2 linked regions of the Arabidopsis thaliana genome follow. The protein of the gene in region 2 interacts with the protein of the main gene of each other region in a pairwise test. Each region holds a gene or a part of one and is shown on either strand. Other genes may lie near its edges.

Region 1 (4,704 bases), about 11 Mb from region 2:
GATAATTTGTGCAATCTGATGAGGGAAAGCTCAGCAGAAAGGTCACGCCTAGCAAGAACAGGGAGCAGCAATAGCGGTAACAGAGGCAGATCAAGCAAAAGCTCCTTCTTGTCCAATGTGGAATCTAACAAGCTCCCTCTTGTGTTAACCGTGGCTATTTGCAGCATAGGTATTATAGTGATCAAGAGCTACATTAACAAGCGGCAATAACATCTATTAGCCACTATGGGTTTTCTCTTCTTTTTTTGTTCTTTTGTTTTGGTATTTTTCTCACTGGAGGCGTTTTGTGAGCTTCCCTGGTTTCTCTACGTAGACAATGACGCCAGTTCTCTTCCCCTAAATTAGTCGTTTGGAAGACGTTCTCGATTATTTATTCAATAAAGTTTAGGTTTTTAGTTTACAAGTCACTTCTTTGGGTTTTTACAAGGATCAAGACAAGACCTGGATGCAGTTGAACACAGGGTGACAGGGAGATTGTTAAAACTTAAAAGTACCAAATACAAAAACAACGTTATAGACTGGTAGACTCATCCATTATTATACTCATTCAAAGAAAAAATTAAGAGTTGCTAAATTGGGACATGTCATTGTACCAACTTTCATAACACCCAAATTCAAATCAAGTACTATTGAAGGAACCGAGTCTTCAAAGTGGCAATTGCATTGACAAAACAATATACAACCCATGAAAATCGTTCTACGAGCTAGACCAAGAGAACAATCTAATGCAACCACTTGACATTACATTGGGTTGAATGTTGTTTGTTTCATCATAGGTGATGAATGATGAGGACGGGTGAGCTAAGTCCATGTACCCTTTTTAACCATTATACATATGCATATAGACACAAACACCTACTTTATAAGTACTACATATATGCTCTACCAGAAATGCTCAAGCCATGCATGTTTGGATTCTCCAATGGAGCTGCAAAAAAATAGGAGCAGAGCAGAGATCCTGATTCCCATCATATAGCTTTGTCCAACCAGGCTGGTAATCTCAACGAAGATTTCATTCCTAGTCTTGTTAGGAAGATCGAGTATAGCAGATGCAGCAACAACACAAAGAATCCACTGTTAAGTAACAGCTGTTGAGAATCAAAGCAAAATGTTATCGGCTTCTTTTATTAATTTCCCGAGATAAACAGAGAAAAGCGGGATAAAGAGATTGCGTACCACTGTCCCAAATATCATATAAATGAGGCTCATCGAAGGCATTATGTTCAGGCCCATGGCCGTGAAAACATAAGAGAGAGAAGCGTGGATGTTAATTGTGATCTGCAACAACAATGCAGTGGTGGTTTTATTTGTACAAGAGTTTCTTTAGGTGAAAAAGAGTGATAGGTATTTGAGGGAAAGAGGCAGCTTACCACAGCGAGAATATTTTCTCTTATTAAGAAGGATGATGTCAGAACATAGCCTATGAGACCCAATGCTCGAACCTGCGTGGGAGGAAACACGATAATACAAGTAAACAAGGAGAGATAAGGACATATTAAGTGTACTGTGTAATCACAGGAAGCAGACATTTCACCATTGTGCACAAGAAAATCGAGAGACGCCAGCTTGCCCCCATACTGAGAACAGAATAATATTGCAAGAAAATAAACAACTGAGACATTTTCTTCAACAGTAAAGACAGGAATTAGTAAGATGTATGTTTTTGTTGCAGTAGAGAACTAGAAAGTAGAAACTGTGCAAAGATAGAGAGGAGTGTATGAATTCAACTACCTCCACAATGATCCCAGTGCAAGCCCCACAAGACCATGAGTAAGCTACAAAAATAAAATCTCCAAAAGTTAAGCAATGGTCACGAGATAAAACTCTGCTTGGCAATCTAGGAAAGCGGAGGCTTACAAAGTAAGTTAATGCCTTGACCGGACCTGATAATATGAACAACAGCATGACAGTAGCAACCTGAGAAACAAACAAACAAACACCACAAAAGACTTGAAGCACATATTCACAAAAAAAACTTGAGAAATTCTTATTAATGAGAAAAAGAATGTTCTTTTACAAACCATTGTCTTCCTGCCACCTGCAATGTTCCATCTTATCGAAGAAATCACAATTGGTAGTGAGAAGAAACACCCAAAGTAGTTCTGCGTTCAAAAATGTAAACTCATACTCATTAAAAAGGAACAAGTAAGTATGAAATGTTTATCACACTAACGATCAAACACACAAAAGAACGATGATTCTCACACACATCCTTTGTTTCCAAAGTTGACATTTTTGGCAATGTCTTCTATGAAAAATAAGATCAAACTTAACCTCAATACTCCAATGTCCTTATGGGAATTATAAGGCAAGAAAAATTAACCTCAATGGCGAGAGAATTGCTGAGAAAGTAAACGAGGCCTGTCACAGCAGCGAACATGGCACATTCTACTAATCTCAGCGTTTTCTGGTAAACCACTTCATCTCCTTCCTTCGTCGAAGCGTAATTTCTCTCGGATTCTTCTTTCTTCCCATCCTCTTGATTATTATAAAGCGAAGCACCAGAGACGCTCGAGAATGCGAAGCACCTTCCACGATTAGAGATAGAAACGAGAGAGATTATGTGTCTCTGTGGAGAGAGTGACACAGAAGAAGCAAAGGAGCGTGTAGGGGCAAAACGGTAAAATCGAGTAATGGTAGACTGGTAATGAATCGTCTTGAGGAGATTCATGGAGGCGAAGAAGAAGAAGACGACGAAGCTCTCTTCTCCTCCGTTTATCTTTGATTCTGGAGATAAACTGTTCGATTGATGAAATTACACTAAGCCGGATTTATACCAATTTAAATCTACGGTTAAAATCCGGTTTGGTAATTGTTTATTTTGGTTATTTGATTGCTTCTTTCTTCTGCAACCTCTGTCTATAAAGGGTTTTCTCGACAACAAAATCTAGGAGAGGTGAACTACTTAAACTCCATTTGGTTTCTACTGTCTCTCCGACATCCTCCTATACCAAAGGGACAAGCGGGAATTTGAAAATTGAGGGAAGCTAAAACAATTTTCAAACACTCAATTTCTTGATCCCATCTGGAATTGGATTCCATCGATTAATCTCTCAATGGTGGTGGACCAAGATCAGCAATGGCTGCTCGGTTGCTTATCAGCAAGTCTTGACCCTAACCAGAACGTTCGTTCTTTCGCTGAGACCTCTCTCAATCAGGCTTCTCTTCAACCAGGTCCGTTGCTTAAATCGTTTGGGTTACTTTCGAGCTAGTTGCTTCTCTTCTATAGATTCTTTTTTGTAGTTAGATTTTACCCAAAAGATGTTTGTTTCTTGTAGGGTTTGGGAGTGCATTGTGCAGAGTTGCTGCTAACAAAGACCTCTCTTTGGGATTGCGTCAAATATCCTTTTCATGTCATTGATTTGTTATCCCCTGGAGCTTGTTTATTGATATAATGAGTGTTTTCCCTTTTTTTGGCTTGTGAAGTTCTTAACCTACTGTTACTTAGCTGCGGTACTGTTAAAGCAGTTCATTAAAAAGCATTGGCGAGAGAACGAGGAGGCTTTTGAATATCCTCTTGTCTCAAGTGAGGAAAAGGTACTTTCACTGTCTTCTTTTATTGTTTGTTTTGGATTTCCAGCTGAGATAGTTTAGGAAGTTATTTTGGTTATGTTATTAGGCTCTTATTCGAGGACAACTGTTGGGCTCACTTGATGACTCTCATAGAAAAATCTGTACGGCTATTAGTATGGACATATCGTCAATTGCCACATATGATTGGCCAGAAGAGTGGCCTGAGCTAGTTCCTTTTCTCCTGAAGTTGATTAGCGATCCAAGTAACACTAATGGAGGTATATTTTCGATCAATTTTGTTTGCTCTAGAGACAAATTCTTTTTTTACTACCCATTTCTGTACTCTTTCATGAGAATAGTTACGAGGTTTCCTGAGGCTGAATTTATTTCCATATTCAACAGTTCATGGAGCTTTGAGGTGTTTGGCTCTTCTCTCTGGTGAATTGGATGACAAAGAGGTTCCTACGCTGGTACCTGTGTTGTTTCCCTGCTTGCATGCAGTCGTATCTTCTCCTCAGGTATTGTATTCTTATATTGATACGATCAGACTCATGTTGAATCACGTTTATGGCATGTCAAGGTCTCTTATGTGAAAATTTTAGTAACAGAGGCCCTTATGGAGCTCACTTCTTTGTATATGTAGAGCTATGACAAGTATATTCGAGGAAAAGCCCTTACAATTGTTTATTCATGTATATATGTTCTTGGAGCAATGAGCGGTGTGTACAAGGTACTTTTTCTTTGATAATACATACATCTTGAATGTGATTTGCTTCAGCTACTTCTGTTATCAGTTTACATATATAATGTGTTTATATTCAGACGGAAACTACTACTTTGGTGACGCCTGTGCTTAAGGTTTGGATGAATCAGTTTTCACTTATATTGGAGCATCCTGTGCAACGCGAGGATCCTGATGATTGGAGTTTAAGAATGGAGGTTCGTCTCATCTTGTAATTGTCTTACTTTTGTTCCCATTGAACTCCCGGAATTGTATATCGGGCCCCTGTCTTTGCATTGATTTTACCTCCTCTCATTAGGTCTTGAAGTGCCTAAATCAGTTTGTACAGAATTTCCCATCTCTCATCGAAAGTGAATTGATGGGTATGTTCTCGTGTGTTACCCATGTACTTTTTTTATTCAAACATATGCATCTGAAGCATCATTATTGAAACATAATATATGTGCAGC
Region 2 (3,681 bases):
CTTCTAACACCTCTTAGAAACCAACCTTTTAGCATAAACCCTAATCCCATCTTTATAAACCAAACACTTCTTGCCTTTTTCTTGCAAACTCACAAAAAAGAAGACAAGAAGACAAAAATTAAGAAATTTACCGATTTGAAAACAATGGCTCTAGCTCGTCTGGCTTTGAGAAACCTTCAACAAAAACTGTCTCCTAGTTTGATGGGTCAATCTTGTGAAAGAGGTTTGGTCGGAAATCGACATAATCCAATGAAGCTAAACAGATTCATGGCTACTTCGGCTGGTGAACAAGAGGATAAGATGAACACAGAAGTGAGTGTGTCTGAGAAGAAATCTCCTCGACAGAATTTCCCCCGGAGACGTGGCCGAAAAAGCCTCTGGCGTAACACCGACGATCATGGCTACTTCACTCCCACCCTAAATGGTACGTTTGTCATTTTAGTTCATTATTGATATACCTATTTAGCAGAAAATTTCAATAGTGTCACAATAATAATATTTTCGAAATAAATTATATAAAAAAAATTCAACATTTAAGTGTAAAATATATCCCATAAAAGAAAAATTAAGAAGAAAATTTGAAATTCTAGAATCATAAAAATACATCAAATTTTAAATTTACATTTTCATTGCATTAAATCTCATGAAACATAATTAATGTAAACCTCTATTTTTGCTTGAATTGAATTTTTTCTTCTTCTTAAAACAGAGTTCTTTCCTCCGACTATAGGAAATACTCTGATACAAGCAACAGAGAATATGAACAGAATTTTCGACAACTTCAACGTGAATCCATTCCAACTAATGGGTCAAGTGAAAGAGCAAGACGACTGTTACAAGCTCAGATACGAGGTTCCAGGGCTAACCAAAGAAGACGTGAAGATCACGGTAAATGATGGAATCTTGACGATTAAAGGAGATCACAAGGCGGAGGAAGAGAAAGGCTCACCTGAGGAAGACGAGTACTGGTCTTCAAAGAGTTATGGTTACTACAACACGAGCTTATCGTTGCCTGATGATGCTAAGGTTGAGGACATTAAGGCGGAGCTCAAGAATGGTGTGCTTAATCTTGTGATTCCTAGGACGGAGAAGCCAAAGAAGAATGTTCAGGAGATTTCTGTTGAGTAGAAGAGATACGGTGTCGTTTTTGTGTTCTTTGATGGACTAAGCAAATTAATGTTGTACCTTTTTTATGTTTATGCGAATGGAATCAGTTATTAAGTTGCTAATTAACTTAGTTCATTTGCGCAAACAAAAGAAGCTAGAAAATACATTATAGACTAATTGAACAAGCAAAGAATGAACCAGTTTTGTGTTTGTAATGAGAATGGAATAAATTGTTATTCAGCATAGTTAATTTTCGCAAAAGAAAGAAGCCAAAATTAATTAAAAGAAGCAGCAAATGTTGTGTCCCTTTTATGTTTTCTATGCGAATGGCTCAATGGAGTAAATTGCTAATTCACGTCATGAACACAAAAATGTTGATATATTAAACAAGAAGTCCATTTTTGTACCTCATATCAAAATTTTATTTGTAAATTTTGTATTAATAATTGTGGATTTGCTATACTATACTATGAAATATTTTTCTTTATAGACAAGTTATGTTATACATTAAATTATTTATTTATTAATAAGTACAGTATTTTAGTGTATTGTCAGAGTTCAGTTTCTTTAAAGAAAACACAATATTTTTTTTTTTTGTCGTCAAGAAAACACAATATTTATGTTAAACAAAAATGCATGATATTTCAATAGTTTGTGGAAAATTATAGAAAATATTTCATTTTCCTTCTTTTAGTTTGGTATTAAGAAGGAAAAAACCAAAAACATTTTTTTGATAATGTATACATAAATTAAAATTAAAATAATGAGAAAACAAAACAAGGTCCAAAATACCTTGTGAAGAAAATGGCGACGGCGTTTGCCAACACGACTTCAAGCTCCAACCTTTACCTCCATCGCTGCCGTAAAAACCATCCTCTTCCATCTCCGTCGTTCTTTTCACCGTTCCGGTCGTCTCCACTTCCTTCTCAGACCCTTTTCCTCGTCCCCACTCCAAAACCTGTACGACGCATCGCGGTCGCTCCTCTCGGCCCTCCAACGCCGCCTAGTCCCGACCCACCTCCGCCTAAAAACACGACTGAGCTCACAAGTTCGTCTTTCCCTTCTTACCCTTAAAACTTCAATGTTTCAACTCTGAGTTCTGATTTTGTTTACTGCCAATTCTATTTTTCAATCTTTCCTAATTCGATGAAATTGCATTACGGAATTCGAATTAGGAGAATGAAGGTGGTTTAACTGCTATTGATTCGTAGATAAAGATGTTAATCTTAGTCCTCAAGATCGATTACTGTTCATTGCTAAAGTTTTGATCTTTGTGACAATTTATAGACTTTTACTCTTGTTAAGCATTAAGGATTTATAAATCTCCTCCTTTTACAACTTGTGAATGTCTTCCAAAAGTTCCACCATTTTCTTTTCCCTACAGGTTTAGTCATTGGTTGCAATACGAGAGCAATCTTCTTAACAATTTGGATTCATAGTTGTTGTTTGGTATCACATTTTGTGTAGGTCTTGTGGGAGTAGCGTCGATGATTCAAGACCGTGTAAAGATCTTTCTTTCAGTACTAATTTGGATCTCTCTCTTCTTTTGGGCTTCGGCTTTACAAGGAAGAGGCAGCAAAGGTAATGGTAAAGGGAAGAAGGGTTCACGCTTCAAATAGTATTAGTTAGATTGGTGTGGTGATGATGATGATGATTGATGAAAACTCCTCTACACGTTTGTGTATATATACAGAGGAAATATTCTTCCAAGTAAAGCAAATTTCTTGTCAGACTACAGTTTTATACTAGAAACTAGATTGTTCTCTTCTTACGATATCTCTAGCTTAGAGCTATAGAGATTACTCTACTGTGATGAAACTAAAGTAGTTTGCATTTAAGTCAAAATGCCAAATCAATATCATTGTTTATTGAAAGCTGTTTCAGATTGTAAATGACTAGATGTGTTTGGTGTGTGCTTGATTCAGCCAAACGGTAAACCGCACCGTTTCTTTGATTTGAATGTTTGTTGTATAAAATGGGCCTTTAGATATGTTATATAACTTGTTTGGGCTTCAACATACTCTTTTATTGGGCCTCTCTATATAATATAATATTTCCAAAGTTGTATTTAATTATTATTTGATTTATATTTAAAACAGTGGTTGTTTATTCATGATATGAAAAAAGAAATAACTGGATTTAGGTAAACCTTATTCAATACTGGGACAATGAATTAACCAGCTCATGATTAGTTGGACCTGTTTTGGTTAAAGGCTGGTAGTAAGTTTAGAAACAGAAATTTATGATAAGAGCCTAACATTTTGTTCTGACCACACTGAGTAATTTAACAATCTATCTAAATTAAGATTTTATGCTATGTTTAATTTATATTTGTTCTGATTATAGCAAATAAATTTCCATATCTAGAGATCTTCTTCATACACAATAAAAAAAACTAGTATTTGAACTTTTGTATGTATTAAAAATTGCAAGATTTTGTAAGTACAGATTCACCAAGGTGAGGTGTGTGATTAGGAAACTTTGATTAGTTGTCATGTGTCATCAACAGGCCATGAAAAGGAAATCTTTGAAATTCAAAAAACAATACCTTTTGATGAAATTATTACTATATAA

Evidence for each region.
Region 1: the proteins of AT1G52550 (region 2) and AT1G26180 interact in a protein complementation assay, tested with the Arabidopsis thaliana proteins (one large-scale study listed by BioGRID).

The regions. Positions count from the first base shown.
Region 1 is NC_003070.9:9,052,791-9,057,494, reverse strand, and holds AT1G26180 (uncharacterized protein), read right to left. Parts: upstream 2,823-4,704; 5' UTR 2,672-2,822; coding exon 2,324-2,671; intron 2,103-2,323; coding exon 2,022-2,102; intron 1,918-2,021; coding exon 1,858-1,917; intron 1,776-1,857; coding exon 1,732-1,775; intron 1,578-1,731; coding exon 1,535-1,577; coding exon of another isoform or gene 1,496-1,534; exon of another isoform or gene 1,443-1,495; coding exon 1,371-1,442; intron 1,279-1,370; coding exon 1,177-1,278; intron 1,089-1,176; coding exon 969-1,088; 3' UTR 554-968; downstream 1-553. Other genes in the region: AT1G26190 (Phosphoribulokinase / Uridine kinase family), read left to right, coding at 1-210; AT1G26170 (ARM repeat superfamily protein), read left to right, coding at 3,057-3,174, 3,279-3,340, 3,445-3,537, 3,620-3,791, 3,916-4,031, 4,157-4,243, 4,336-4,452, 4,554-4,617 and 1 more.
Region 2 is NC_003070.9:19,572,230-19,575,910, reverse strand, and holds AT1G52550 (uncharacterized protein), read left to right. Parts: upstream 1-1,851; 5' UTR 1,852-1,911; coding exon 1,912-2,155; intron 2,156-2,574; coding exon 2,575-2,726; 3' UTR 2,727-3,156; downstream 3,157-3,681. Other genes in the region: AT1G52560 (HSP20-like chaperones superfamily protein), read left to right, coding at 145-424, 710-1,128.